Linked DNA regions of Canis lupus familiaris. The protein of the gene in region 5 purifies or fractionates together with the protein of the main gene of each other region. This does not show direct contact. Links are inferred from orthologs where the notes say so. Each region holds a gene or a part of one and is shown on either strand. Other genes may lie near its edges.

What was found.
Region 1: the proteins of SOX2 (region 5) and COP1 purify together in Homo sapiens (affinity purification with western blotting; 3 studies listed by BioGRID). This does not show direct contact. The link is inferred for Canis lupus familiaris from reciprocal best matches to the Homo sapiens genes SOX2 and COP1.
Region 2: the proteins of SOX2 (region 5) and UBR5 purify together in Homo sapiens (affinity purification with western blotting; 3 studies listed by BioGRID and IntAct, with this or other methods). This does not show direct contact. The link is inferred for Canis lupus familiaris from reciprocal best matches to the Homo sapiens genes SOX2 and UBR5.
Region 3: the proteins of SOX2 (region 5) and CTNNB1 purify together in Homo sapiens (affinity purification with mass spectrometry; 3 studies listed by BioGRID and IntAct, with this or other methods). This does not show direct contact. The link is inferred for Canis lupus familiaris from reciprocal best matches to the Homo sapiens genes SOX2 and CTNNB1.
Region 4: the proteins of SOX2 (region 5) and CCT3 purify together in Homo sapiens (affinity purification with mass spectrometry; 3 studies listed by BioGRID and IntAct, with this or other methods). This does not show direct contact. The link is inferred for Canis lupus familiaris from reciprocal best matches to the Homo sapiens genes SOX2 and CCT3.
Region 6: the proteins of SOX2 (region 5) and MYEF2 purify together in Homo sapiens (affinity purification with mass spectrometry; 3 studies listed by BioGRID and IntAct, with this or other methods). This does not show direct contact. The link is inferred for Canis lupus familiaris from reciprocal best matches to the Homo sapiens genes SOX2 and MYEF2.
Region 7: the proteins of SOX2 (region 5) and BAG2 purify together in Homo sapiens (affinity purification with mass spectrometry; 3 studies listed by BioGRID and IntAct, with this or other methods). This does not show direct contact. The link is inferred for Canis lupus familiaris from reciprocal best matches to the Homo sapiens genes SOX2 and BAG2.

What each region holds. Positions count from the first base shown.
Region 1 is NC_049228.1:23,216,169-23,220,145, reverse strand, and holds the start of COP1 (E3 ubiquitin-protein ligase COP1), read right to left. Parts: upstream 2,801-3,977; 5' UTR 2,475-2,800; coding exon 2,053-2,474; intron 1-2,052. UniProt on the Homo sapiens protein: E3 ubiquitin-protein ligase that mediates ubiquitination and subsequent proteasomal degradation of target proteins.
Region 2 is NC_049234.1:4,153,791-4,157,899, forward strand, and holds the start of UBR5 (E3 ubiquitin-protein ligase UBR5), read right to left. Parts: upstream 2,801-4,109; 5' UTR 2,720-2,800; coding exon 2,658-2,719; intron 1-2,657. UniProt on the Homo sapiens protein: E3 ubiquitin-protein ligase involved in different protein quality control pathways in the cytoplasm and nucleus. Mainly acts as a ubiquitin chain elongator that extends pre-ubiquitinated substrates.
Region 3 is NC_049244.1:10,789,130-10,793,172, reverse strand, and holds the start of CTNNB1 (catenin beta-1), read right to left. Parts: upstream 2,801-4,043; 5' UTR 2,759-2,800; coding exon 2,746-2,758; intron 2,315-2,745; coding exon 2,087-2,314; intron 1,885-2,086; coding exon 1,631-1,884; intron 1,507-1,630; coding exon 1,268-1,506; intron 1,180-1,267; coding exon 978-1,179; intron 1-977. UniProt on the Homo sapiens protein: Key downstream component of the canonical Wnt signaling pathway.
Region 4 is NC_049228.1:41,556,186-41,559,685, forward strand, and holds part of CCT3 (T-complex protein 1 subunit gamma), read left to right. Parts: intron 1-2,924; coding exon 2,925-3,042; intron 3,043-3,500. UniProt on the Homo sapiens protein: Component of the chaperonin-containing T-complex (TRiC), a molecular chaperone complex that assists the folding of actin, tubulin and other proteins upon ATP hydrolysis.
Region 5 is NC_049255.1:15,025,169-15,029,279, forward strand, and holds SOX2 (transcription factor SOX-2), read left to right. Parts: upstream 1-1,481; 5' UTR 1,482-1,509; coding exon 1,510-2,478; 3' UTR 2,479-3,611; downstream 3,612-4,111. UniProt on the Homo sapiens protein: Transcription factor that forms a trimeric complex with OCT4 on DNA and controls the expression of a number of genes involved in embryonic development such as YES1, FGF4, UTF1 and ZFP206. Binds to the proximal enhancer region of NANOG.
Region 6 is NC_049251.1:14,705,047-14,708,546, forward strand, and holds part of MYEF2 (myelin expression factor 2), read right to left. Parts: intron 2,511-3,500; coding exon 2,458-2,510; intron 1,236-2,457; coding exon 1,228-1,235; intron 1,128-1,227; coding exon 1,034-1,127; intron 1-1,033. UniProt on the Homo sapiens protein: Transcriptional repressor of the myelin basic protein gene (MBP). Binds to the proximal MB1 element 5'-TTGTCC-3' of the MBP promoter. Its binding to MB1 and function are inhibited by PURA.
Region 7 is NC_049233.1:24,633,002-24,636,078, reverse strand, and holds part of BAG2 (BAG family molecular chaperone regulator 2), read right to left. Parts: intron 1,324-3,077; coding exon 1,214-1,323; intron 1-1,213. UniProt on the Homo sapiens protein: Co-chaperone for HSP70 and HSC70 chaperone proteins. Acts as a nucleotide-exchange factor (NEF) promoting the release of ADP from the HSP70 and HSC70 proteins thereby triggering client/substrate protein release.

The DNA.
Region 1 (3,977 bases), on a different chromosome or scaffold from region 5:
CAATGCCAACTGCTTATATTATCCTATGGCTCTCTAATTCCCTACAAAATAGTCAATATACAACTCATGGTGCCTGGCAGACAGTTGTGCCAAATAAATATCTGTTGAATAAATTATTGATTCTCTTATTTCTCACATCTTCACTACTATTTCAGTGCACCTATAGGAATGCTGGCATATTTGTTTTCTTTTAACCCTCTAAAAATTAAAATGTGGGGATCCCTGGGTGGCTCAGTGGTTTAGCGCCTGCCTTTGGCCCAGGGCGCGATCCTGAGGATGCGGGATCAAGTCCCACGTCGGGCTCCCGGCATGGAGCCTGCTTCTCCCTCTGCCTGTCTCTGCCTCTCTCTCTCTATGTCTATCATGAATAAATAAATAAAATCTTTTAAAAATAAAATAAAATAATTAATTAATTAAAATGCAAATGGTGGTTAAAAAGACAAATCCAAGCAGCGCGGGTGGCTCAGCGGTTTAGCGCCGCCTTCAGCCCAGGGTGTGATCCGGGGATCCTGGGATGGAGTCCCCACATCAGGCTCCCTGCAGGTAGCCTGCTTCTCACTCTGCTTGTGTCTCTGCCTCTCTCCGGGTCTCTCATGAATAAATAAATCTTAAAAAAACAAAAAAAAAGAAGAAGAAGAAAAAGAAAAAGAAAAAGAAAGAGAAAAAGAGAAAGAGAATTTTTGAAAATCCTCATTTTGTTTCATCAGCTTCTACTTCATCATATGGCACCCTACTTACTGGGTATGAGCATAAACACCTCTTAGACCCACCCATAAGCTAGTTAAATTATTTATAAATAACAATTATAGCCAAGTTTCAATGAGAAACGAATTAATTGTCTCAATCCAGAGTAATGTAAGACCAAAGCAGAAATAGGAGTGAAGATAATTTTACTGCAAGACCTAGAAACTCTAATCAATTATCTTTCCTACAGTTCCATCGTGTAGCCCAATCTTACTTAATGATGCCAACTCACATCATCTTCAACCCTGAGGTAAATCAACTTCCCCTATAATGACAGCGCAAGCCAACTTCCTACTCATGTTCTAAGTCTATCAACAATTTCCTCCAAAAGAAAAGTGCAAAATCCTACCCGTTCTCACTTAACTAGAAGCAATTCCTTTCTCCTACTCCTACTGTTTGGATTGGGTTCTGGATACAAAAACCCAATGAGAAATCCCAAAACACTTCCAGCAAGACAATCCACTCCATCTCTCACTTAATATAGATAACCCAACTCTGCCAGACATCCTAACGGTATACTACTGTGTATCGTTCAAGATGCCAACTATGATGACAAGGTGTCTACTACCTGGCGTTCCTCAGATCGGAAGTTCCAGGGCACTGTAACCTGTTACACAAATGTAGTACAGCTACATCCGACACATGGATGCTGTTGAATAAATGTGGTTCCCTCGCGTCCAAGGCATTTAGTGACAAGTGGAAATTTTTGTGAACAGATTTTTATGACTACAGTAGCCTCAACAGCAGATTTAAAAGTGGCCTACCCTTTGAAGTGGGAGGATATTTATACACACACACACGAGGGATACTGACATGAAATACTACTTCTCCTTAAAATATCCATACCCACGTCTGGAGCACCATCTACCACACTTCCAATAAGCAAATTTGACCAACTCCGTCCCTCGGCCTCCCAGGAAGCTTAATCCTCTCCTTTTACAAGTTCAACAAGAAATCCGGACCGACAGGGTGTCGAATTCACCAGAAAGCAGAAAATTCACCAGAAAACAAAAAAACAAAACAAAAAAAAAAAAAAAAAAAAAGCAAGGCCCAACTTTCCCCGTTTACGCACCACCATTTACCCGACCCTCCTTCTCGGCCCCCTGACGCGTAATTCTTCCTTGGACTCCCCTCACGTCCTCCCCAGCAGCCCGGGCCTCCGCAGTCACCCCCACGTCCTCCGCCGGCCTGAGGGTCTGCAGACGCCGCCCCGGCACCACCTAGACCACCCTCCCGCCGCACCCCGCCAGCCCACACCGCGCAAACTCCTCGTGCCGCGGCGGGCAGGGCGATGCTCTTCCAACTCACCACACGAAGTCGTTGCTTTTGTCCTCGTAGGAGTTGATGAGCCCGTTGCACAGGGGGGCGAGCAGAGGTCTCTTCCGGCTGCCGCTGCCGAGGCCGGAGCTGCTCCCTCCCACGCCGGCGCTGGGCCTGGCCGCGCAGCTGAGCCGAGACTGGCCCGCGGACACCGCCCCGCCGCCGCTGCCCGACACGGCGGCCGCCACCAGCACAGGCCGCGCCGCCGGGCCCCCGAGGCCGCCCGACCCCGCGGCCTGGGCCGCCCCGCCGGACGCCGCCGCCGCCGCCGCCGCCGCCGCCGCCGCCGCCGCCGAAGGGGGCGACGGGGAGGAGGACAAGGACGAGGAGGCGGAAGTCACCGAGGAGGCCGCCGAGGAGCCGGGGCTGGTCCCGGCGGAGCCCGACCCGGCCTGGCGGCTCCCGGACATCGTGCCTCCCCCACCTCCGGCCGGGCGCTCGGAGAGGGACCGCGACCCGCCGCCGCCTCCCTCCCCTCACCTCCCCTCAACCTCAGTGCATCCTGAGGCCGCGCGCCGCGCCGCGCCGCGCCGGGAGGTGGGGCTGAGGAACAATAAAGTTGATCTTTTTTTTTCTTTTTTCTTTTTTTTTTTTTTTTTGTTTAAGGCGAGCACACAGCCGCGTCCGACGGGAGGAGGGGGCGGAGGAAACTGAAACAGCGGAGGAGAAACCACTGCCGCCGCCGAGGCCGCCACCGCCGCGAGCCCCGCCGCAGCCAACCGGGGCGCGCCGAGGGCCGGCCGTGCGCGCGCGCGAGCGGCGGAAGGGGCGGGAGCGGCGGCGGAGACAACCTCGAGGGCGGCTGGGACGCGCGCGGCGCGCCCCCGGCGGCGGCCTAGCAACGCGGGCTGCGCTCGTCCGCAGCCGAGCGGCGGGTGACGTACGGGGGGGAAGGGGGGAAGGGGGAGGGGGAGGGGAGGGAGGGAGGGAGGGGGTGGGGCTGTCCCAAAGGGTGAAAGGGCTGCGGAGAGGGGAATGAATGATAGGGTGGCGCCCGCGCTTGGGAGCTGGCGGGGAGGGGAGCGCGCCGAAGCGACTGCGCACGCGCTCTGGGCGCCGACCCTGGCTGCCGCCCGGGTCGCGGCCCCCCGCTCGGAGCGGCGCTGGCGCGGACCGGCTGCAGCACTGCGTGGGGCGACCGCCTTCCTGAAGGCCGAGACGCGGCTGCAGCCCGCGGCCCGGGCATGGCAGGTGCTTCCGAGTCGCCTTCTGAAGCCTCCGTGGACGCTACGGGAAAGACCCGGGGCTCTGAGCGGCTGAGAAGAGCCCTGCATTGACCCTCCACGAGTCTGGGCCCTGCTGTTAAGCCATTCATTCCACGCGGCTGTGAGGAGTCCATTAAGATGAAGTCAGTCACCGGTGCTTTGTAAATTGCAAACATCGTAGCAAGTGTTATCGATTATTATTGGTCCGACCGTGCTGTCTTGCATCTTGAAACATGAATTTACCAAATTAAGCATGACGATGACGAGAAAACCAGTTCTATCTGATCTGACCACGGCTCAGCCAGAATCTCGGTTTAATGTGGATCTGATATCCTCTACCACAAAACAAGGAAACCTGGCGCTTAATACCACGAAAAAAAGAAAAGAAATGTGTAATTTCTGGTAGCTTTTTGGAATACGGAAAATTGGATACAGGTTCTTCATTTGCCATTTTGAGACTCCCCAAGATTCTGGGTGATGTAAATTAGAAACAACTGGGTTGTTTTCGGTATTCTTTTCCAATCCTCGTCCTGTGGTTCTTAGAGGGAAAGATCCCAGATTTATTTTTGTTTAAAGATTTTATTTATTTATTCATGACAGACACAGCGAGAGAGAGAAAGAGGTAGAGACACAGGCAGAGGGAGAAGCAAGCTCCATGCAGGGAGCCCAACGTGGGACTCCATCCAGGGTCTCCAGGGTCACAACCTG
Region 2 (4,109 bases), on a different chromosome or scaffold from region 5:
GGCCTCTTAAGTTTTCTTTTACTCGCCAATTTATACCATACTGCCTGTCCAATCTTACTGCTTTTCATGTAAAGAATAAAGTCTACTTATTTATACCATTTTTCATCCGAAAACATCATTTATCATTTCATTTCTGGCACAGACACATTTCTTATATAAAAGTCAAGTTATAGTTTATAGTTTCTATTACCAAAACTTACTAAATCTTGGTAGTTTGTTTTTTTTTTTTAATGTGAAGATGAAAATATTCTGGACTTTTTGTTCTGGTTAAGGAGCTCCAGAAGCCAGTCTGTTTTGTAAACAGATATTTGTCAAGCAATGCAGCAATAGGTTGATCCTATTACTCTGCAAGGAGGTATGCAAAGAGGATCTTTCCCTTTGAAGGGGAGACACAGAATAGTTCCACTGTAAGTCAGCTACATCAAAACAGGGTGCATGACTATCTCAATGCTGTCCTCACAAATCTCAACAGACCATTCTTTATGCTACCAGCTTAACTACAGGTCCCCAAAATTTGACCTACAGCACTATTTTCTCAAATATCTGCCACCTCGATGCACACGTTTTATAATCTGAATCAAACTCACTTCTAGTTCATAAAAACTCAAAGTGGTCTAAATATTCTTAGTATTGTATACTGCCCCTGTGGGATTCAAAAACAAAACTGATTACTTGTTTACACTAGGAATTAAAGAAAAGGTAGCTTAAAAAAAGATACATTACTTGTAAATTTCTCAGACAAGCTAAAGTAAAAGCAATGTACAAAAATGAATCAAAATGCCCAAGACAAAATAGGTTTTGGCATAGTCAACTGAGTAAGCCAGTCAGGATTCTTGGTATCAAGCAGGACTAATACAGAAAGCATGGCCTACCCTCTCTCCTGACTGGTGCAATGTCCTAAATTACAAGACAAGTTACACTACAAGCCCTACCAACTTGGTTCTATGAATGACAGTAGAGCTATCCTCACTAATAGCCCGGTTCCAAAATTTACCCAAAAAATCTTTTAAGTCTTAAAGATCTCTATCTCTAATGAAGTGAAATCAGAATTAGGATTACATAACAAAGAAAATAAATGACAAAATTTATTTCAGTATTTTCAGCAAGTATTTCGAAAGTTTCACGAACAGCCAACAATTTGGCTACAGCAAAGATTAGACAAATCTGAACCAGTGCCACAAACTAAGCCCCCAGCTTTCGGACTGAGAAGCTCTCCGCCCCACCTGAGGCGGATAGATACTCGGAGACCGAGGCCAGTGTCTAAGCCGAAAGTTAGGCCTCTTCCTCCCTCCGGGAAGCGCATGACAAACAACGTCATGCAACTTATGTCACCCGGTCACTTAGCAAAAATCCTATCTAACTTCTAAACTTGGGTCCAGATGGCCATTTATACTCAAAAGAAATAGAAAGCAGCTAGATCATTGTGGGGGAGGAAGGCTTAAAATGCCCCACTTTCTGGCCCCTTTAAATATTCAGCCCATCATTAGATCGGAGTCCTAAATTCTAAGACTTACTTTAATGGAGGCCTCCCTCAACCTTCTCCATGTCTGTTTTGCAACAGTGAAGGAACTTTTCCTGCTTTATCTTAGTTCCCTGAGAGCATGCGGCCCTGCAATTCAATATCCTAAACTGGCAGGAACAGTGGAGGAGGCAAAGGGAGGAATCCACAGCCAAAATAGCCTTCTTATTAAAGACAAAAAAAAAAATCATAATTCCTCCTCCGCCCATAGCAAACCCATCCCAGAAATTTACAGCTTGTTAAGAAAGCAGCATTGCGAACTGCAAACGTAAGAGTTTTCCTTTGACTCTACGCACGGTTTTCAGCTGTCAAATTACAACTCAGGAAAACACTATCATTAGAATAAAAAAGGAAACAAAAAAGCTCGCACCATAGGAGCTGGGAGAAGGAGCTCACCAGCCCCATTACGGAAGAAGGAGAGCAAAGGGAATCCAATCCATTTCCCCACCCCCGCCTGAATTCATCCCCTCCCCGGGCAGGCAAACCTCACTGCAGGAGCTCAAATTTAATAATAATAACAATAATCATGGCGCTTCCATACCCCCCCCGCCCCGACGCGATCTGCCGGGAATCAGCCTCCCCCTCCCCTGGCATCTCCAGACTTGGCAGGTCCAGACTATCCCACCGGACACAGCTCCCGGGGGCCCGGGCGAGCCCGGTCTACCCCCGTGCCCCTCGCCCCGCTTCTCTTCTTCCCTCTCTTTTTACCTCCACCATCCCCCATCCGCATTGTCTGTCTCAATTCAACTTTGACTAATATGGATTCCTCGGGCCTGGGCCGGGCGGTAATTACAGCCCGCCCCCCCCCCGCCGGGAGCCCGATCCCCCCCCGCAATCATCTCCGCCGAGTTCAACGCGGCTCCTCGGAGGGAGACGGGGCGGGGAGGGGGGAGGAGGAGGTTGCAGCGCGCCTTCCCGTCTACACCGCGGGCACCGTCTCCACCGCGCTCCCCCCGCGGCCCCGGACCCCCGGGACCAGAAGTTTGCCCCGGAAGGGGCCTAGCCGGGGGCGGTGAGGCCCCCCCGCGCCCGCCGGCCGGCGCGTAAACACGGGCGCCCGCCCCGGCGCGGCCTCGTGGGGGAGGGGAGGGCGGGGAGGCGCCCCTCCCCCCGCCCGCCAGCCCGCCGGCCCTATTACCTGTCATTGAGCTGGTCCTCGGTGCCCGGCAGCGGGTGAACCACGAAATGGATGGACGTCATGGTGCTTCCTTCTCGTCCTCCTCCCGAGGACGGCCCCCTCCCGCTCTCGCCCACCCCCTCCGAGCCCCCTTCCCCTCCCCAAAACCCACTGCCGCCGCCGCCGCCGCCTCCCAGTCCCCAATGGAGGGAAGCGAATGCGCAGGGGCCGCCGCCGCCTCCCTGCCGGGCGTGTGTCCGCGGCCCGGCGGTCCGGCGGGGCGGGCAGGGGCGGATCAACACGCCACCCGCTCCCCGGCGACAGCGCGCGGGAGTGCGAGGCCGGCGGCCGGGACTCGGGGCGCGCCGCCGCCAGCGGCGGCCGGGCGTCGGGAGCGGGGGCGCTGGGGAGGGCGGAGAGGGGCGGGCTGCGGGCTGCGGGGACGGTGTGGTCCCGGCGGCGGACGGGGTCCGGACTAGGGAGGTGGGGAGGGAGATGAGCCCGCACCGCGCGTCACTGGCGAGAAGCCGCCGCCGCCGCCAGCACCGCCGCCGCCATCTTCACTTCTGCCCCAGTTTCTCCGTCTCGCAGGCTCCGCTCCCGAGCGGCGGGGGAGGGGCGAACGGGAGGAGGAGAAGGAGGGAGGAGACCGGCGGGCGGGGGCTCGGCTGCGAGGGGGCGGGGCTCCGGGAAACGGGCGCTAAGGCCCTTTCGATTGGGCGGCTCAACGTCGTCGGGCCACGGCGCTGTAAGGCGCGCGCCGATTGGTCGGTGCGGCCCCGAGCCCAGCCCCCCGGGGGGTGGGAGCGCTCCCGAGTGAGTGTTCCGGAGAGCACGTGTTAGGGAAGGAGGCGGCGCGGGGGAGCCCGCCGGGGCGGGGAAGGGGTCTGCGAGGGCGGCTGAGTGTGTGTCCCCGGGGACGTGGGAAGGAACGGGGGCTCTGCGCTCCTCGCTCTGATTTCCCTGGGGCGGTCCTAATCATCCTGCGGATCTTTAGGGGTTTTTTGTTGTTGTATCTCGCCCTTCATCCGCAGTTATATTTAAAGTGGAAGTGCAAAATCACTTAAGGGGCAAGGAATACACAGCCTTTTATTGGAGAAGTGAGGTAGTTATGTAAGGACCTTTCCAGAAGGTCCTATCGCAGGATCCGAGAGCTGACTTTGCAGCAACTTCTTTTATCACCCCAGTCTCCCCAGTGTTCCCGGCAACACGTCACATACCTGCACAAAGACAAAATGTGGAAATTTCCGCTAATTTCCTGCTTTAAATGATTCATGGGGTTTTTTTAACTACTTTGAAATGAAAGATGATATATCTCTTCTACAAAGGCGTTCTTCAACTCATGGTCAGTGGGATCAAACCGGCAATTTCTTGAATGGATCTTTTTTCTAAGGAATTCCTTTTTTTTCTAGAGAACCAGTTCATAGCTTTCTTCTCAAAGGCTTGCATGGCTCCTTCAAAAAAATCAAGTAC
Region 3 (4,043 bases), on a different chromosome or scaffold from region 5:
CCCTGAACCCCATTACCCCAGATTCCCATACTGGGACCACGTTTAGCCCCTCTTACACCATTCCACTCAAATTCAGGCATCCCAGTACTCCCAAGAATATCTCAACTTTTCCCCAATATTCTTCCTCTCACACTGATCAGAACAAAAGAAACAGAAACCATGTTGGTATGCAACAGTACTGTCCATATATCAATGGTATATCAAAGCAGATTTCTTGAAAATTTGAGCCAGAACAGGTGCTTAGAACTCCTAATGATTTGGCTCTTGGCTTTTCCTAATCATTATTCACCTACTTAAAATGAAGTATCATAAAATAATTACTCATTCTTGCCCTTTACTTTCCTGCAGACCCCTACTTCCAAACTATCCTGATTTTCTAAAAACAAATCTCCTCACTTCATGCCTCTGCTGATACTGAACTGCTTTCCATTACTTTTTAAAAACATATTCTACAAGGCCCTGAAGGACCTTCCCTGCTAATCTCAATACTCTCATCTCAAACCTTTCCTCTTCTTTACTCTGTAAATTCATCCCTCTCCTCTCTCAGTAGGACTTTCAAAGGTGTCAATTCCTCTCTCTCACCTTCACCTAGTCAGTCTTTCCTCATCCTTGTGAACTGAACTCCACTATCACTTCCTTCCACTGGTCTCTCTAAACCTTCCAAGCAGGGTGTGGTTCACGTATATGCTATCACAGCCCCTCTACTTCTTCCAGATACATGAATTAAATAGTAATTAGGTTATTATCTCTAATTAGTGCCTATCTTCCACCTAAGTATGAAAGCTCTAAGTATGCCCACTATATCCTTATCACCTAGCCTTATATAAACAAATATTTAAAGAAAAAGAGATGTCCAGCTTTTTTTCTAGGATACACACAAAGGGTGAGGCATACAAAGAATGTGCAAGAGTCCACAGAAGGACATGACACTGGATTCCCCAATGCTCCATGAGCCATACTCAGAAAAATTCTTTTACCTTGCTTTCTTGATTCCCGTAAGCTAAAATCTGAAGGCAGTCTGTTGTAATAGCCAAGAATTTAACATTTGTTTTGTTGAGCAAGGCAACCATTTTCTGCAGTCCACCAGCTAAACGCACTGCCATTTTAGCTCCTTCTTGATGTAATAAAAGGTTGTGGAGAGTTGTAATGGCATAAAATAATACAGAATCCACTGGTGAACTGGGAAGAAAAAAAAAGCCTCATCAGAAAGGCTGTGATGGCACCCTTCTCCTCCTTAGCTTCAAGCATCCTAACCATGTTTTCTTACCCAAGCATCTTCACCAGGGCAGGAATGCCCCCAGACTTAAAGATGGCCAGCAAGCCCTCACGATGATGAGAAAGATTGTGCAAGGTCCCAGCAGTACAGCGAGCTGTTTCCACATCATTTGTATTCTGCATGGTGCGTACAATAGCAGACACCATCTGAGGAGAACGCATGATGGCGTGTCTGGAAGCTTCCTTTTTAGAAAGCTGATGGACCATAACTGCAGCCTTATTAACCACCACCTATAATGTATAGGAATTAAGAGACAGAATTATGATTTTCAAATACTGATACCGGATAAACATTCTGAGGCTCCTTGAGAGTTTCCTTTAAAGCAGATTAAAAGCTAGCCATGTCCTTACTTACCTGGTCCTCATCATTTAGCAGTTTTGTCAGTTCAGGGATTGCACGTGTGGCAAGTTCTGCATCATCTTGATAGTTAATCAAATTTACAACTGCATGTTTCAGCATCTGTGATGGTTCAGCCAAACGCTGGACATTAGTAGGATGAGCAGCATCGAACTGTGTAGATGGGATCTGCATGCCTTCATCTAATGTCTCAGGGAACATAGCAGCCCGCACCCTCTGAGCTCGAGTCATTGCATACTGACCATCAATATCTGGAAAAAATAAATTCAACACTCACTGTCCATAATTCAGCATTCACCTGAATTTGTGCTACCCTAAGTGGTAAAGGTAACATTACAATCACTCCATGTTTTCTTTACCACACCATTTTATTTAAGCTATTACATACTAACTTTTTAAAGAATCATTCTTAAAATTGCCTTCTAACTTTTATTAAGGCAATAAAATACTTACCAGCTACTTGTTCTTGAGTGAAGGATTGAGAAAAGCCCTGTTCCCACTCATACAGGACTTGGGTGGTATCCACATCTTCTTCCTCGGGATTGCCTTTACCACTGAGAGAAGGAGCTGTGGTAGTGGCACCAGAATGGATTCCAGAATCCAGGTAAGACTGTTGCTGCCAGTGACTAACAGCTGCTTTTCTGTCTGGCTCCATGGCCATGTCCAGCTCCATCAAATCAGCTATAAAAATCAAACAATATTAGCATTACCACCATGGAGATGTTATATTCATTAAAATATCTGTGATGACCCATTGAAATATTGTTAGAAATAGTCAAATCTGAAAGTCAGCCAAGAATAAACAACGATAGCCAGGATTAGCTCAGTGATGAAATATCTATACTCTTAAGGGACCACCTAACAGTTACTCACTGAATTAGTGGAAGAATGGTACTGCATCCAGGCTCCAGAAGCAGTCATCCAGACTAGATTCCTGCTGGTGGCTTGTTTGCTATTTCACCAAGCCATTAGGAGGAGTGAGCAGAAAATGGAGCAAAAGGTAGCCTGACAAGTAAGCAGGGAGAGAGTAAAGCAGGGGGATCTGAGCCAGACTGGGTTAATGGCAATGAAGCAGAGCCCCGATTCAGTAACTAAAGACTTTTGATACAAACCTTGGGTAGCCATTCCCCACACAGGATTTTCAAAACCGTTGTATGGTGTGCTTCAGGTACCCTAAAAGAGTTAATCAAGTCATTAGGATTTAAAATTAGTTTTTAGTACTTTTAAGTCACTAGGATGACCTGCTAAACATCATGGATTATATCCACAAAAAGCCCCCAAATCCCCCTTTACCATGTGAGAGTGAAAGCCAGACTCCATGGTCTCCTTAATACACTCCCCACAGCTCCACCACTGCTGAACCTCTTTTAGTAAACACCTCTTTTTAGGTAGAAATACAAATTACAGTTATTCAGGATGTCAGAAAGCTTAATTATTGTTGAGGAGGAAGAAAATTTATAGTGAAAGCCAAGGTAGGAAATAACTCCTCGAATTCCCAAAATACCTCTCCCCTCTCTTTTTAACTTCTTTCACTGAAAAATTCAGAGATCTTTCTGGTGAGACTGGACATGGACTTTAAAAAAAAACTAGATTTTCACTAATGGTTTTTCTTTCCTGATAGAATACAAAGACATCTAAAATACAAAGTAGGTTTTGCTGACTGGATCAGAACACTGGGTTTGAGATCTGTTACTAACTAAAATTACTTTTCAAATGTAAATCTGCAACACAATAATCACCCTTTTAGTAAAATCTGTCTAGTTCAAATTTATAGTATGGATGTATTATAAATACAACTATTACCGACCAGAATGCTGTTTTGATCATTACAAAAAATATATATATATTACAAAAGTACTATATATATAAATACATAATTTATATATATGTAAATCCTAGCATCTATGTTTACATTTTGGCCTCACTGTGTAATAGGAAAACACTGAATCACATGGGAAACTACTTGCAAATTAGAACTGTGGGTCTTGTAAAGGCTCACAACCACCAGATATTCCTAATAATAACATTTCCTTTATCACAAAGTATTCCCGTAAACAAGTTCATCTTACACTACAACTTAACATATTGGTTTACCAATATGTAAAGATATGGACTAAAATATTTAAGCATGAAGTGAGTACTCTATCCATGTAAAAAGGAGTTTAAATGTTTAAAGAAGTTGGAAACTACACTCTGAAGTCCTATGTGCTCTATGTAAAGGAAGCATGTGTTAATTATTCCTAAAATTGCTCTTGCAGTACTAGATTTTTATAGCCACAAAGGTCACTTGATATGTAAAGATAACAAGAGTTATGGATACAATTGTTTAGTGTCCACAGTAGAAACACAACTGATGATCTTTTTTTACATGACAAAATGAAGGTCAGAAAATAATAAAGGTGATTCCTGT
Region 4 (3,500 bases), on a different chromosome or scaffold from region 5:
TTAGGAAAACTGGACTGTACTTTAGTGCTACACTTGGGGGCCAGTTCAAACAGTGGAATCACCAACAAAATGTACAAAAATGAGGGATCCCTGGGTGGCTCAGTGGTTTAGTGCCTGCTTTCGACCCAGGGGCGTAATCCTGGAGTCCCAAGATTGAGTCCCACATCAGGCTTCCTGCATGGAGCCTGCTTCTCCCTCTGCCTATGTCTCTGTGCCTGCCTCTCTCTCTCTCTCATGAATAAATAAAATATTTTTTTAAAAATACAAAAATGAAACTATACCTCGGAAAGTATGACAGCTGAAATAAGGCAGAGCATTGTATTGAGTGACTCAGAGTTTTCCACCTCTGCACATGTGTGTGACCATGAAAGTGTCCCCAATGCTGATTTGGGGCTTACAAATAACGTTTTTGCAAGTAATGAAGTTGACAAATGAATCTTGACAATGAGTCGTGACCATACAAGTTTTAATAACTGATCTCCCATTTTCTATAGGATCTTGGAGAATCACTTCTGAAAACATTGCCTTTATTTCTCTATATGTTTTAAGTCAATGGTGAATTTTTTTAATCAAGGCATTTTTAAAAACCTACATACAGTAACACATTGATAAAGAAATGAGAACTATTTTAAGGAATGCCTCTTTTTTTTTTTTTTTTTTAAGATTTTTATTATTTATTCACGAGAGACAGAGAGGCAGAGACACAGGCAGAGGGAGAAGCAGGCTCCACGTAGGGAGCCCGACGTGGGATTCAATCCCAGGTCTCCAGGATCAGGCCCTGGACTGAAGGTGGTGCTAAACCACTGAGCCACCAGGGCTGCCCAGGAATGCCTATTTATAGTGTTGACTCACATGCCTAAAAGTAGAATCCATACAATAGAATTATTATAGGAACTTTGATTTAAATTTTTTTAAGATTTTTATTTATTCATGAGAGACACAGAGATAGAGAGGCAGACACAGGCAGAGGGAGAAGCAGGCTCCATGCAGGGAGCCCGACGTGGGACTCGATCCCAGGTCTCCAGGATCATGCCCTGGGCTGAAGGCAGGCGCTAAACCACTGAGCCACCCAGGGATCCCCTGATTTAATTTTTTTTTAAAGATTTTATTTATTCGTGAGACAGGCAGAGTGAGAAGCAGGCTCCATGCAGGGAGCCCCGATGCTGGAGTCGATCCTGGGACTGCGGGATCACACCCTGAGCCAAAGGCAGATGCCCAACCACTGAGCCACCCAGGCATCCCTTACGTGAACTTTTAAAGTGGCATTTTCAGTTATTTTTAGAATGTATCAAATTGGGTGGAGATGTACTGGAGTCACCACCAACTAGGCACTTTGTTATTTTAGTTTTGAGAGAGAGCCCGCATGAGTGGGGGAGAGGAGTAAAAGCAAAGGGAGAGAATCTCAACAGACTCCCCACTGAATGCAAGGCTCCATCTCACAGTTCTGAGATCATGACCTGAGTTGAAACCAAGAGGCAGATACAGCTGACTTAGCCACCTAGGTGCCCACTAAGCACTTTAGACCCAATTTTTATGAAGAGGAGTGAAAGATAATTTGGAGTCGAAAGAGGGAGGACAGATTTTATATGATTTCTTACTTTTTTGGTAGAAGATGAGCGGTAGACATCAGGCAGAATTTCTAGTTAACAATCTTTGTTGAATCTCCTGGAGCGCTTAGATGGGTTAAGTATCCATATGTCTAGGTAGCTCTGCCATTCCTAGACTCATTTTTCTTAAGTTATCCTGACTTCTCTAGCAGGGCGTACATGTTCTTTTCTGAGTGAACTTACTCAAACATCTTTTAAAATGCTTAATTATCTTTTAAAATGCTTAATTATCTTTGGGGGCACCTGGTGGCTCTTGGTTACAGCTCAGGTCATGATCTCAGGGCTGTGAGACTGAGCCCCGCTTCAGACTCCCCACTTAGTGCAGTCTTGTCCCCTCCTCCCCTTCTGTCTCTCCTGAATGCGAGTACAGACATGCACGTGTGCTCTCCCTCTCAAAATGAATAAATCTTGGGATCCCTGGGTGGCGCAGCGGTTTGGTGCCTGCCTTTGGCCCAGGGCGCGATCCTGGAGACCCGGGATCGAATCCCACATCGGGCTCCCGGTGCATGGAGCCTGCTTCTCCCTCTGCCTGTGTCTCTGCGCCTCTCTCTCTCTCTGTGACTATCATAAATAAATAAAAATTAAAAAAAAAAAATTAAAAAAAAAAAAGAATAAATCTTTTAAAAATAAATAAAATTACTATCTTTCAGTGTACACGTTGGTCACTTAGAATTGGTGTAAAGTATTCAAGAATTCAAACATTTGAGGGACACCTGGGTTGCTCAGCCGTTGAGCGTCTGCCTTTGGCTCACGGCGTGATCCCGGGGTCCCAGGATCGAGTCCCACATCAGCCTTCCTGCATGGAGCCTGCTTCTCCCTCTGCCTATGTCTCTGCCTCTCTCTTCTGTCTCTCATGAATAAATGGGTAAAGTCTTTTAATAAAAGAAAGGCTTCTGTCACACCACCATTTAAAAAAAATAGGTCTGATGATTTTTTTTTTTTTATGAATTCCCTTGTATAAAGTATAAAATTTGAATAGTATTAACAGCCAATTGGCATAGCTTTTGGGACAGTATTTTAGGAAAAAAGATAATAGTATTTTGAAAACTCAATGAAGTTGCCTTGAGAGATCCCTGGGTGGCGCAGCGTTTAAGCGCCTGCCTTTGGCCCGGGGCACGATCCTGGAGACCCGGGATCGAATCCCACATCGGGCTCTCAGTGCATAGAGCCTGCTTCTCCCTCTGCCTATGTCTCTGCCTCTCTCTTTCTCTCTGTGACTATCATAAATAATAATAAAAAAAAAATTAAAAAAAAGAAAAAGAAGTTGCCTTGAAATCCAGGTACTTTTAAAAACCATTATGGTGTATCTTTTTTCAGCGGGGGAGATGCTGTCTGTGGCTGAGCACTTCCTGGAGCAGCAGATGCACCCAACAGTGGTGATCAGTGCTTACCGCAAGGCATTGGATGATATGATTAGCACCCTTAAGAAAATCAGGTATTGAGATCAGAAGTTACTATCATCTCTGGGGAGCCTGGAAGACTGATCTGTTCTGAGGTGATGAAGGAAGGCCAGACACATCACACAATTTATACGCTGGTGTCCTGTGCTAGAGTGAGACAGGAGAGCAAAACCAACAGAGGATGAGAGATGTAAACATTTTGGAAAATGACAAAGGATACAAAGTAGACAAGAGGGACTCAGTACAGTTCTTCAAAATATCTCTTGGTTACGTGCTGTTTGCTTGTTTCTGTGTTAGGTGCTGCCATGGAAAATGTTAGATGCCAACGGGTGGAATTAGTTGAAGAGTTAGGTAACTAATGATTCAGGACTTAATAGTAAAGTGTTCTCCCAATCATGACTGATGCGGTCAGTGTTCTAATAAAATGCTGTGGAGAGTGTAGCCGGCAGTTTTCCATTCAGGTCAGAAGGAAGGGGGCTGAAAATGCTTTTCG
Region 5 (4,111 bases):
CGGGGGCGGGGGGCGGGGGGCGGCGAGCGCGGCCCGGGGACCGGGGACCGGGGGGAGGGGGGAGGGGGGAGGGGGGAGCGCACGCCGCTCGGCCGCCCGCACCTCGGGGCGTCCCGCCGACGGTCGTCTCCCCTCCGCGCCCCCGGCCTCCTCTGGAAGGCGGCCCCGCGGAAGCCCTGCCCGGCGGCGGCTCGGCAGGAGGGTGGGGGCCCCGGACGCGGTGGGGGCAGCCCCCCTCGTGGGCGACGCGGCTGGGGCAGGGGGCCCGCGGGGCCGGCGGGGAAGCGCGGGCTGGAGCGGCCTCCCCGCCGGGGCACGTCGGCCGCGTTCGCGCTTAGGACCCAGCCAGCTGCCGAGCAACCGGCGGGGCCGCCGGGAGGGTCGGGGACGGCGCTTCCCGCCTCCTGACTTCAGGTCGGGACAGTGAGGAAGGGGGGAGCCGGGCCGGCGCCCGGAGGGGCGAGGGGCCGGGGCCGGGCAGGGGCAGGGGCAGGGCAGGGGCCGGGGCCGGGGCCGGGGCCGGGAGCGCGAGCCCGGGGAGGCGCGGGGAGGCGCGCGGGGCGGGAAGACCCGGACACACCGACTCTCGCGCCGCCTGTTTCCTGAAATCCTGGTGGGACCGTCGCCCTGAGCCCCCCCCGCCCCGCCCCTCCACCTCTGCGGGCCCTCGCGCCCCTTCCCCAACTCCGCGGCCAGCACCAAAAAAAGTAAATCAACGTGAAGTTTGAAGAAGAAAGAAAGAATCGTAGTCTTAGTGCTGTTTACCCACTTCCTTCGAAAAGGCGTGTGGTGTGACCTGTTGCTGCGAGAGGGGATACAAAGGTTTCTCAGTGGCTGGCAGGCTGGCTGTGGGAGCCGCCTCCCCCCTCCTCCCCCCCTCCCCCTCCTCCCCCCCTCCCCCTCCTCCCCTCCTCCCCCGCGCGGCCTGCGGCGCGGCAGGCCCCGCCCCCTTTCATGCAAAACCCGGCGGCGAGGCCGGGCTCGAGTGGAGGAGCCGCCGCGCGCTGATTGGTCGCCGGAAACCCATTTATTCCCTGACAGCCCCCATCACATGGATGGTTGTCTATTAACTTGTTCAAAAAAGTATCAGGAGTTGTCAAGGCAGAGAAGAGAGTGTTTGCAAAAGGGGGAAAGTAGTTTGCTGCCTCTTTAAGACTAGGACTGAGAGAAAGAAGAGGAGAGAGAAAGAAAGGGAGAGAAGTTTGAGCCCCAGGCTTAAGCCTTTCCAAAAAATAATAATAACAATCATCGGCGGCGGCAGGATCGGCCAGAAGAGGAGGGAAGCGCTTTTTTTGATCTCGATTCCAGTTTGCTTCTCTCTCTCTCTCTCTCTTTTCTTCCCCCAAATTATTCTTCGCCTGCTTTTTCTCGCGGAGCCCTGCGCTCGCGACACCCCCGCCCGCCTCCCTCCTCCTCCTCCCCCGCCCGCCCGCCCGCGGGCCCCCCAAAGTCCCGGCCGGGCCGAGGGTCGGCGGCCGCCGGCGGGCCGGGCCCGCGCACAGCGCCCGCATGTACAACATGATGGAGACGGAGCTGAAGCCGCCGGGCCCGCAGCAAACTTCGGGGGGCGGCGGCGGCGGCGGCGGCGGCGGCAACTCCACCGCGGCGGCGGCGGGCGGCAACCAGAAGAACAGCCCGGACCGCGTCAAGCGGCCCATGAACGCCTTCATGGTGTGGTCCCGCGGGCAGCGGCGCAAGATGGCCCAGGAGAACCCCAAGATGCACAACTCGGAGATCAGCAAGCGCCTGGGCGCCGAGTGGAAACTTTTGTCGGAGACGGAGAAGCGGCCGTTCATCGACGAGGCCAAGCGGCTGCGAGCGCTGCACATGAAGGAGCACCCGGATTATAAATACCGGCCCCGGCGGAAAACCAAGACGCTCATGAAGAAGGATAAGTACACGCTGCCCGGCGGGCTGCTGGCCCCGGGCGGCAACAGCATGGCCAGCGGGGTCGGGGTGGGCGCCGGCCTGGGCGCGGGCGTGAACCAGCGCATGGACAGCTACGCGCACATGAACGGCTGGAGCAACGGCAGCTACAGCATGATGCAGGACCAGCTGGGCTACCCGCAGCACCCGGGCCTCAACGCGCACGGCGCCGCGCAGATGCAGCCCATGCACCGCTACGACGTGAGCGCCCTGCAGTACAACTCCATGACCAGCTCGCAGACCTACATGAACGGCTCGCCCACCTACAGCATGTCCTACTCGCAGCAGGGCACCCCTGGCATGGCGCTGGGCTCCATGGGCTCGGTGGTCAAGTCCGAGGCCAGCTCCAGCCCCCCCGTGGTTACCTCCTCCTCCCACTCCAGGGCGCCCTGCCAGGCCGGGGACCTCCGGGACATGATCAGCATGTACCTCCCCGGCGCCGAGGTGCCGGAGCCCGCCGCCCCCAGCAGACTGCACATGTCCCAGCACTACCAGAGCGGCCCGGTGCCCGGCACGGCCATTAACGGCACACTGCCCCTCTCGCACATGTGAGGGCCGGACAGTGAACTAGAGGGGGGGAGACATTTTCAAAGAAAAACGAGGGAAATGGGAGGAGAGTAAGAAACAGCATGGAGAAAAACCCGGTACGCTCAAAAAAAAAAAAAAAAAAAAAAAAAAGTCATCACCCGCAGCAAATGACAGCTGCAAAAGAGAACACCAATCCCATCCACACTCACGCAAAAACCGCGATGCCGACGAGAAAACTTTTATGAGAGATCCTGGACTTCTTTTTGGGGGACTATTTTTGTACAGAGAAAACCGGAGGGGGGGGGCGTGGGGAGGGCGAGGGGATGGACCTTGTATAGATCTCTGGAGGAAAGAAAACTACGCAAAACTTTTTAAAAGTTCTAGTGATACGGTAGGAGCTTTGCAGAAAGTTTGCAAAAGTCTTTACCAATAATATTTAGAGCTAGTCTCCAAGCGACGAAAAAAAATGTTTTAATATTTGCAAGCAACTTTTGTACAGTATTTATCGAGATAAACATGGCAATCAAAATGTCCATTGTTTATAAGCTGAGAATTTGCCAATATTTTTCAAGGAGAGGCTTCTTGCTGAATTTTGATTCTGCAGCTGAAAATTTAGGACAGTTGCAAACGTGGAAAAGAAGAAAATTATTCAGATTTGGACATTTTAATTGTTTAAAAATTGTACAAAAGGAAAAAAAATTAGAATAAGTACTGGCAAAACCATCTCCGTGGTCTTCTTTAAAGGGGCAAAAGTTTTAGATTGTACTAAATTTTTTTTTAACTTACTGTTAAAAGCAAAAATGGCCATACAGGTTGACATCGTTGGTAATTTATAATAGCTTTTGTTTCCCAACTTTCCATTTTGTTCAGATAAAAAAAAAAAAGCAACAACATGAAATTACTGTGTTTGAAATATTTTCTTATGGTTTGTAATATTTCTGTAAATTTATTGTGATATTTTAAGGTTCCCCCCCCCCTTTATTTTCCGTAGTTGTATTTTAAAGATTCGGCTCTGTATTATTTGAATCAGTCTGCCGAGAATCCATGTATATATTTGAACTAATACCATCCTTATAACAGGTACATTTTCAACTTAAGTTTTTACTCCATTATGCACAGTTTGAGATAAATAAATTTTTGAAATATGGACACTGAAATTATGCTTGAGTCTTTCATTTATTTGGATAACACTGATTATACATAACTCCTCCGGGTATATACTGTGCTCAGCCAAGAAAGCAAAATACCTAAACCTTGGTATTCTAGTCCAGTAGCGTGTGCTAATGTTAATTGCAACAAATAAATGTCTGAATGATTAATTGAATATAAGTACTCTCAAAAAATTGAAATGCTTATATCATTTTGAAAATAGAAACTAGAGACATATATTGTAAACCCACCCTCTCCTTTTCTAAGCTGCATGAATAAGCATGATGGGGACTTATACTTAAAACTGATTTATGCCACTTGTTGCCAGAAAGAAGGAGTCAATTCTGAAAATTTTCATGTAGCTCAGCAGATGGGGTATTGAGCCAAATCAGAACCAGGTTGGCTGGTTTTGTTTTCGTTTTCCTCAATGCACAATGGCCCTTTGGAAACCTGGTTCTAGGGGAAAATGATGCTTCTTGTATCGGAATAATTGCAAACTAGACATGCA
Region 6 (3,500 bases), on a different chromosome or scaffold from region 5:
TCTCATTTAATCTTCATAAAAACCCTATTAGGTGAGTACTATCAGTAGTACTATTATACTCACCGAGGTTTAGAGAATAAGTAATATGCCTAGTCACAGAAACTGATAGAGCTGGGATTCAAATCACTTCTATACCAAATTAAACTGTGACCAACAGTAATGCTCTACTACCAATGACTTGCAAGCTTGCTGGTAGAGACTCTTCAGGGTCCTAAGTACATTCTCAATTATTCGTAATATAGAATTTAGCAAAAACATATACATAACCGGTCTGTGATTAAACTATTCAGATAAGAGTACCAATACAAACTAAAGGAAGACATGAAAATGACTGCTACTCAAACTAATCATTACCAAGGTCAATTACACTTAAGTGTAAATAGTTGCTCATGTTATCTTCTGACCATTCTTTTTTCAACAGATTTATACTGCTATTGTTCCATACAAAGGGAGTTATCTCCACTTTAGGGGTTTTCAAGTTCCAGTTACAATTTCACTAATAGATTCACAAGTTGTTGTTTTGTTTTGTTTTTAATTTTAATCTGGCACAGTTTCAGAGTAATTTTCATTAAAAGTGACTATCAATTTTATTCAAATCCATAAGGTATTTGATTAAGCAACTTTTTATCATAAACTACAAGAATATCTATTGTATTTATCAAATTAAGCCACACAATCTAAAAACTGAAAATGTCTATACCGAATAAAGTCACACCTAAGGTTTGCCATCATTAAATGTCTGAATTTTTTTTTTAATCATGTGTCTGTACTTCTAACAACTTGCGACAAATCAAATACATAGGAAAACTGCTTAACGGCAAATAGGAAAGCATGTACAAGCAAAACTTTCATCAATTATATAATGCTTTCGTAAGCATCTATGCTAAAAAAAAAAAAAAAAAAGAAAGAAAGAAAGAAAGAAAAAAAAAGAAAAAAGTTGCAGTAAGAGAAATATATCCCCAAAGATGAAAATCCAAAGAAAACATGCCCTTATATTCAAAGTTTAAATTATTCCAAATATAAGAAATCTTACCTCTTTAATATTCAGGGGTCTTCCACTAAGATCATATTTGTTCATAGTTTCTAGTGCTTTCTTTACAAATTCTTCATCTTTGAATTCAACCACACTTAATGGGGAAAAAATTATAGGAAATGTTTATATACTAAGTTTTCTTTTTCCCAATCAGAAGTTTAAATTTGACTTGATACTTTAAAAAAAATTCTTACCCACAACCCTATATCCAGGTAGATTTGTCAATATATGCAAAAGAAAAAAAGTTTTAGATCAGTAGATGAAGTTAATGGCAGATTCTAATATTTAAGTCATTAAAAGCAACCAATAACACAATTACATTTTGTCTTTTTACACTTCCAGAACACAACAGGCAAGTGACCACAAATTTCCTGTCAATGTTTAAATCCATCTATGTAAGAGAGTAAAATCTAGCATTTAAAAAGCTTGGAGCAAATATTTACTTTTAGAGGACTCTTCTTTAAGTTAAGACAAAGTAACATCATCGCACAAATTCAGTCAAAAGTAACTCAAGGAAATAACTGAAGGTTTCAATACACCTATTCTCATGTCGTTAGGAATATTTCCAAAGGATGTATGATGCACAAATTGTTTTTAATGTATATCTTTCAGTTTTATTAAATCAATATAGGAAATAATCTTTTTAACTCAGTTCTCTATTAGACAAAACTGGCTGCACACAATTTAATAGCATCCAGTTTAAATATGTAAAAAAACAACCTATGCTAAAGAAACAAACTTATAGAATCATTTTAAAAATAATCATGTCATTATTACTGTTTGAAGTGCCATTTGAATGTAGTGACAAAGCTTTTCTCATGCACCCAACTGGTTCTTCCAATATAATTAAACACTGTTTAAAGTTTTCCACTGTATTCTTCAGAATGTTGCTTTCTTGTTGCTAAAAATCAAAATCTACTATCAACCAATTCCTTCCATGTCAATTTAATCATCAATGTCATTCATACCAATTGGTCAGAGCACTGCCTCTTATGTAGTCTTGCAGGCTACCAAATTAAGTTCTTCAATGTAAAGTTTCAAACATACATTCTGAATTAACACCTTTAAGCTATGGGCTTCTCATAGAACTCTTAGGGAATATTATCAATTCAGTAACTTTTAAAATATCCTTGAAGACATCAAAACACAACAAAAAAAAATCCTATATTAAATCTGTTGGTTAAGAAGAAGCATTACCTTAGAGCATTAGAAAAGTGAATGCCCTTTATGAAACCCATCCCTTCCAGGCAGCTAGTTTGGTTTGGATAAGTGTCAGACTTGCTAGTGTAAAGCCTCAAATCTTGCATAATAAAGTAAAGCAAAATGAAACTTAAGTTTCCAAAAACTGGTACAAATATTATACAAAAAAGTAAACTGCTGAGGAACTTTTAAACCTCAAGCAGATTATTGCCCACAGCACTTACCCTTGATTTTCCTTCCGCATCCTTAAAGAGCTCCACGTATGTAACCTCACCAACTACATAAGACATACAAAAGGAAGATACCAAGAAACAATACATTTAAACACCAGTATCTTGCTTTACTGCACACCTGTGCACAACTCTACAGAAAAGCACCTATTATTCACCAACAATCAAAACCAGACCAACATACCTCCTATCAATGGCTATGTAAATTTAACTAATTTTCTAAAATGTACATCATCCACTTTCTCTAAAAAAAAAAAGCTAACAACCATATTAACCTAATTCATGCTACAGATCATATTTTGGCCAGCATGATATAGTTGGTGAACAAATACACATATACATAACAAATGGTCCCTTAGCCTGTCATATTAAAAACATCAACATTAACACTTTTCAAATAACTTTGGTCGCCTACACACAACAGCTGTTTTAAGGTGACTTTCTACCTGAATGTCTTCAATCATGTTTGCCATCAGTAAACTAAATTTACAAGTCATGCTTCACAGCAAGCCACACACTTTCTAAATAAAGTCAATAAATAAAACCAATCAAATAGTTGTCACCTTACAACAGATACACCAATGCAAATTGTTTTTTATTTATTAGAAGAGATCAGCCTCAAAGCCAAGTACATAGTTTGCAGGACAGTTGAAACTCAATTTTTCAAGAGATAACAAAACTAACTTTTACAAGATCAAATATTAAAATTATTTTTCCCCAAAACCAACCATGTATATAAAATGAAGGTTTTCAGGTTATTCTAAAAACAAAACTGCAACAGCAGTAACGCAATTTTAATATAGAACTGCAGAGACAGCATCATGGCATTCATGACAATGCAAACAAAATGAACTCCACAGCCAGATTCCAGACTCCACCAAGAAAATAACAAAACAGCTTTTGGAAAAAAATAATCAGACCTTATTATTCATACTTTAACACGCTAAATGTATTACTTAACTAGTGCAATAGTCCTTTAAAAATCTATAAAAACTTCAACTAGACAAAGCAATCTCTTTAACAAAGTTCTTGGTGGC
Region 7 (3,077 bases), on a different chromosome or scaffold from region 5:
TATAAGGGTTTCTTGTGATTCACAGTTATCCTTCCTGGTACACGGAGGCAGGCACCCTTACAAATGGAAATATCCCTTATAAATGTAAACATCCCTTACAAACAAGTAACTTCTATTCTGTTTTCAGAGCTTCTCCTGTGTCTGCAGTTTCTCAAAAATAATCAGCTTGAAATAATTCTTATGCCAAAGAGGCAAAATTTGAGATGGTATATTTTGCATGGATATCAGAATACAATGCTCCAATTTTGGCTGAAAAAAACATAACCATGATGGTGGAGAAAAAGCTGGCCTCGAAATTCGGCAGTGACTCATCCTTTCCAGGGAAATTTAAGCAGGCCAGTGGTTTCTAAGTCTTGGCCAGCACAGAGAGGCAATGGTGGGAAAAAGGATCCACATTTCATTATTTACATGAAAAAGTCAGTAATCTCCTCTTTGTCCTGTTCTGTAACTCCCTTTTTTTTTTTTTTTTTTTTTTCCCTGTAACCCCCTTCTTAATTCATCAATCTTTGGCCAGGATGATGAAAAGACCGGCCAGATCTTGATCCTGCCATGTGTGTCTAACCGTGCAGGGCCTGGAGTTAGACTGTACACTCATGGCACCAGCTGTTGGACCATGAGCTTGTCTAGGGAGGCCCCGGAGCAACCAAATTAGAAAGATCACCGCCAGTGAAAGGAAATACAAGTGCCCTATTCCTCCACGGAAACTCATGCTTTTCATATAGAAATGATAGCACATTTTTACATTAATGGGGTTTTATTGGGTCCATTATTTCTTTCCCCTGGATTTTATCTCAATACCTCAACCCCTCTCGTTTGTCCTCTCTGCCATCCAGTAACTTCTGAGGAATTGAAGTCAGGACTGTAAACCTGAGGTCAAAGGCATCACCTTACTGCTTGGGACCACCTCTTCTGGAGCTTGGAGGCCTTTTTTTTTTTTTTTTTTTTTTTTTTTTAACATTTCTAACCATGCCCCTGAGGTAGGCAGCAGGCCAGAAGGGTGACCTCTGGGTAAATGGTTCTTTTTTTTTTTTTTTTTTTTTTTTTTGTAAATGGTTCTTGTAATAATAAATTGACAGCTGTTGTCCGCTACTCATGGGAAATGCTGAAGCCAAGTGTACTCATTCCTCAAGTCAAGTGAAAATGGACCCACACTTATCCTAAATCCCATGAAAGAGTGGAAAAGATGAGCTCCCTTCTGTGGAAATGCTCTCACCATCGCTGATCTGCCTCATATCCTGGCTATTCTGGATGCTGTGGATCATTTCCAGGAGGATTTCTTTCTCTTGCTCAACAGCAGTTGCGGCTTCTCTCAAGGCTTCCACCCTATATAAATTGGGAAAACAAAAGTTACCACAGGGAAGTTTCCTTTTCCTCATCTCTATTATTTGCTCCATCTCAAGTTTAAAGATCCTTAGGAACACTTTTGAAAAGTTCTTTATTCTTTTTTAAAAACTTTAAAATTTTTCGGGCAACCCTCTTGGGGCCCTCCCTCTTCGGGAGCTTTGTACCATCACTTTACTATCGCTCAATAAACTCTGCTTTGCTGCCTGTCAAAAAAATATATATTTAAAAATTTTTTCTATTGTTTTAAATCCACCCACCCCAGTCTCCTTTTCCTCCTCGCGTGTATGGCATTCTATTTAGTGTTTATCTATTTTGTATTCGTTCATAACAAAATCTGTATTTGTGTTTTCATCTATTTTCAATTTATATTTCACTGTTTCTTTTTTCACTCAGCATTTTATTAAGAACCATCCAGATTCCTATGTGAATATCTAATCAGTAGCTTCTGATTGCTGCATGATACTCCATGTATATTCACCTGATTTCACCTCCTCTCTCCCAGTGAAAATGCTTACCATGTCCCCTTACTTGTCATCAGCACAAAAAAGCACTTCAATGAATACAGGTCCCCTATGGACTTGAATGAGAACCTTCTTAGGATTTATCTCAGGGCAGAACTGCTGAGACACAGGGTATGTGCACCCACCATTTAATTCGGTACTACCACTGTTCTCCAGAATGGCCACACTAGACCACTGTTGGGAAGCAAGTATTCTTGTCCCCTCAAAGGTTCTTCTAACTGGACTAAGAATCAAATTGACATGAGACAATTTACAGGAGAAAATCCAATTTAATAGTGTACATAGGGGAATCCACATACACATGGAAATTCCAAAGACAATTAGGCAAAATGAGGTATACCTATTATTCTGAAAGAAGGAGAAGGGGGTTAATGGTCTGGGACTTCAAAGAAAAGGAACGCAGGGTGATAAGAAGAGCAGATGTTTGGTAATTAGATGTTTGCCCTGCCATACAGATGGGCCACTCAGATAAAATTTATCTCTGCTTATAACCTTTATTCTGGGAAAGACCCCTAATTTAGATTCTTCTGTGTGGTTAAGGGAGGGGCAGAAGTTTCTCCTGAGCCTGCAGGCTCTCAAGTGCCTTCAGCTCAAAAGAACCCACATGCCAAAGTGGCACATTCTGGGGGGCCCTGTCCTGAACCCCTTCACAATATTCCCAGCAGTAAAGCATTGGAATCCCTGTGTTCCCACACCCCTACCAACACTCAGCATCTTCCAATTTCCTATTTGTTGCCAGTCTACTAAGTATACAGTGATATATTCATAATTAATCTGCATGTCTTTCATTACTAATAATTTTGGACATCTCTTTGTATTCTTGTTAGCCTGTTCACAGCCTTTGCCTATTTTGTTTTTTCTTTTTTAAATGGGGGTTACTGTCCTCTTGCTGATTTGCATACTCAAAGAATTAGTCCCATGTTAGTTACAGACATTGTAATAATCTTCTTCGATCCTATCATCGATGAATTTTGCCTGGGATATTCTTCACTGAATAGATATCCTTACTTTGAAGTGATCAAATTAATATTTTCTTGGTTTTGTTTGCCTTGTGGCTTATGCTTCTGAAGGGTCTTTACATCTGAGGTCATAAGGTATTTTCCTACATTTCTTTCTATTAACTTCATTGTTTTACTTTTCTCATATTTATGGCTTAGTCCATCTAGAATCCACCTATATGTGTTTAGGTAAGGATTTTTTGTTTTATTTTTC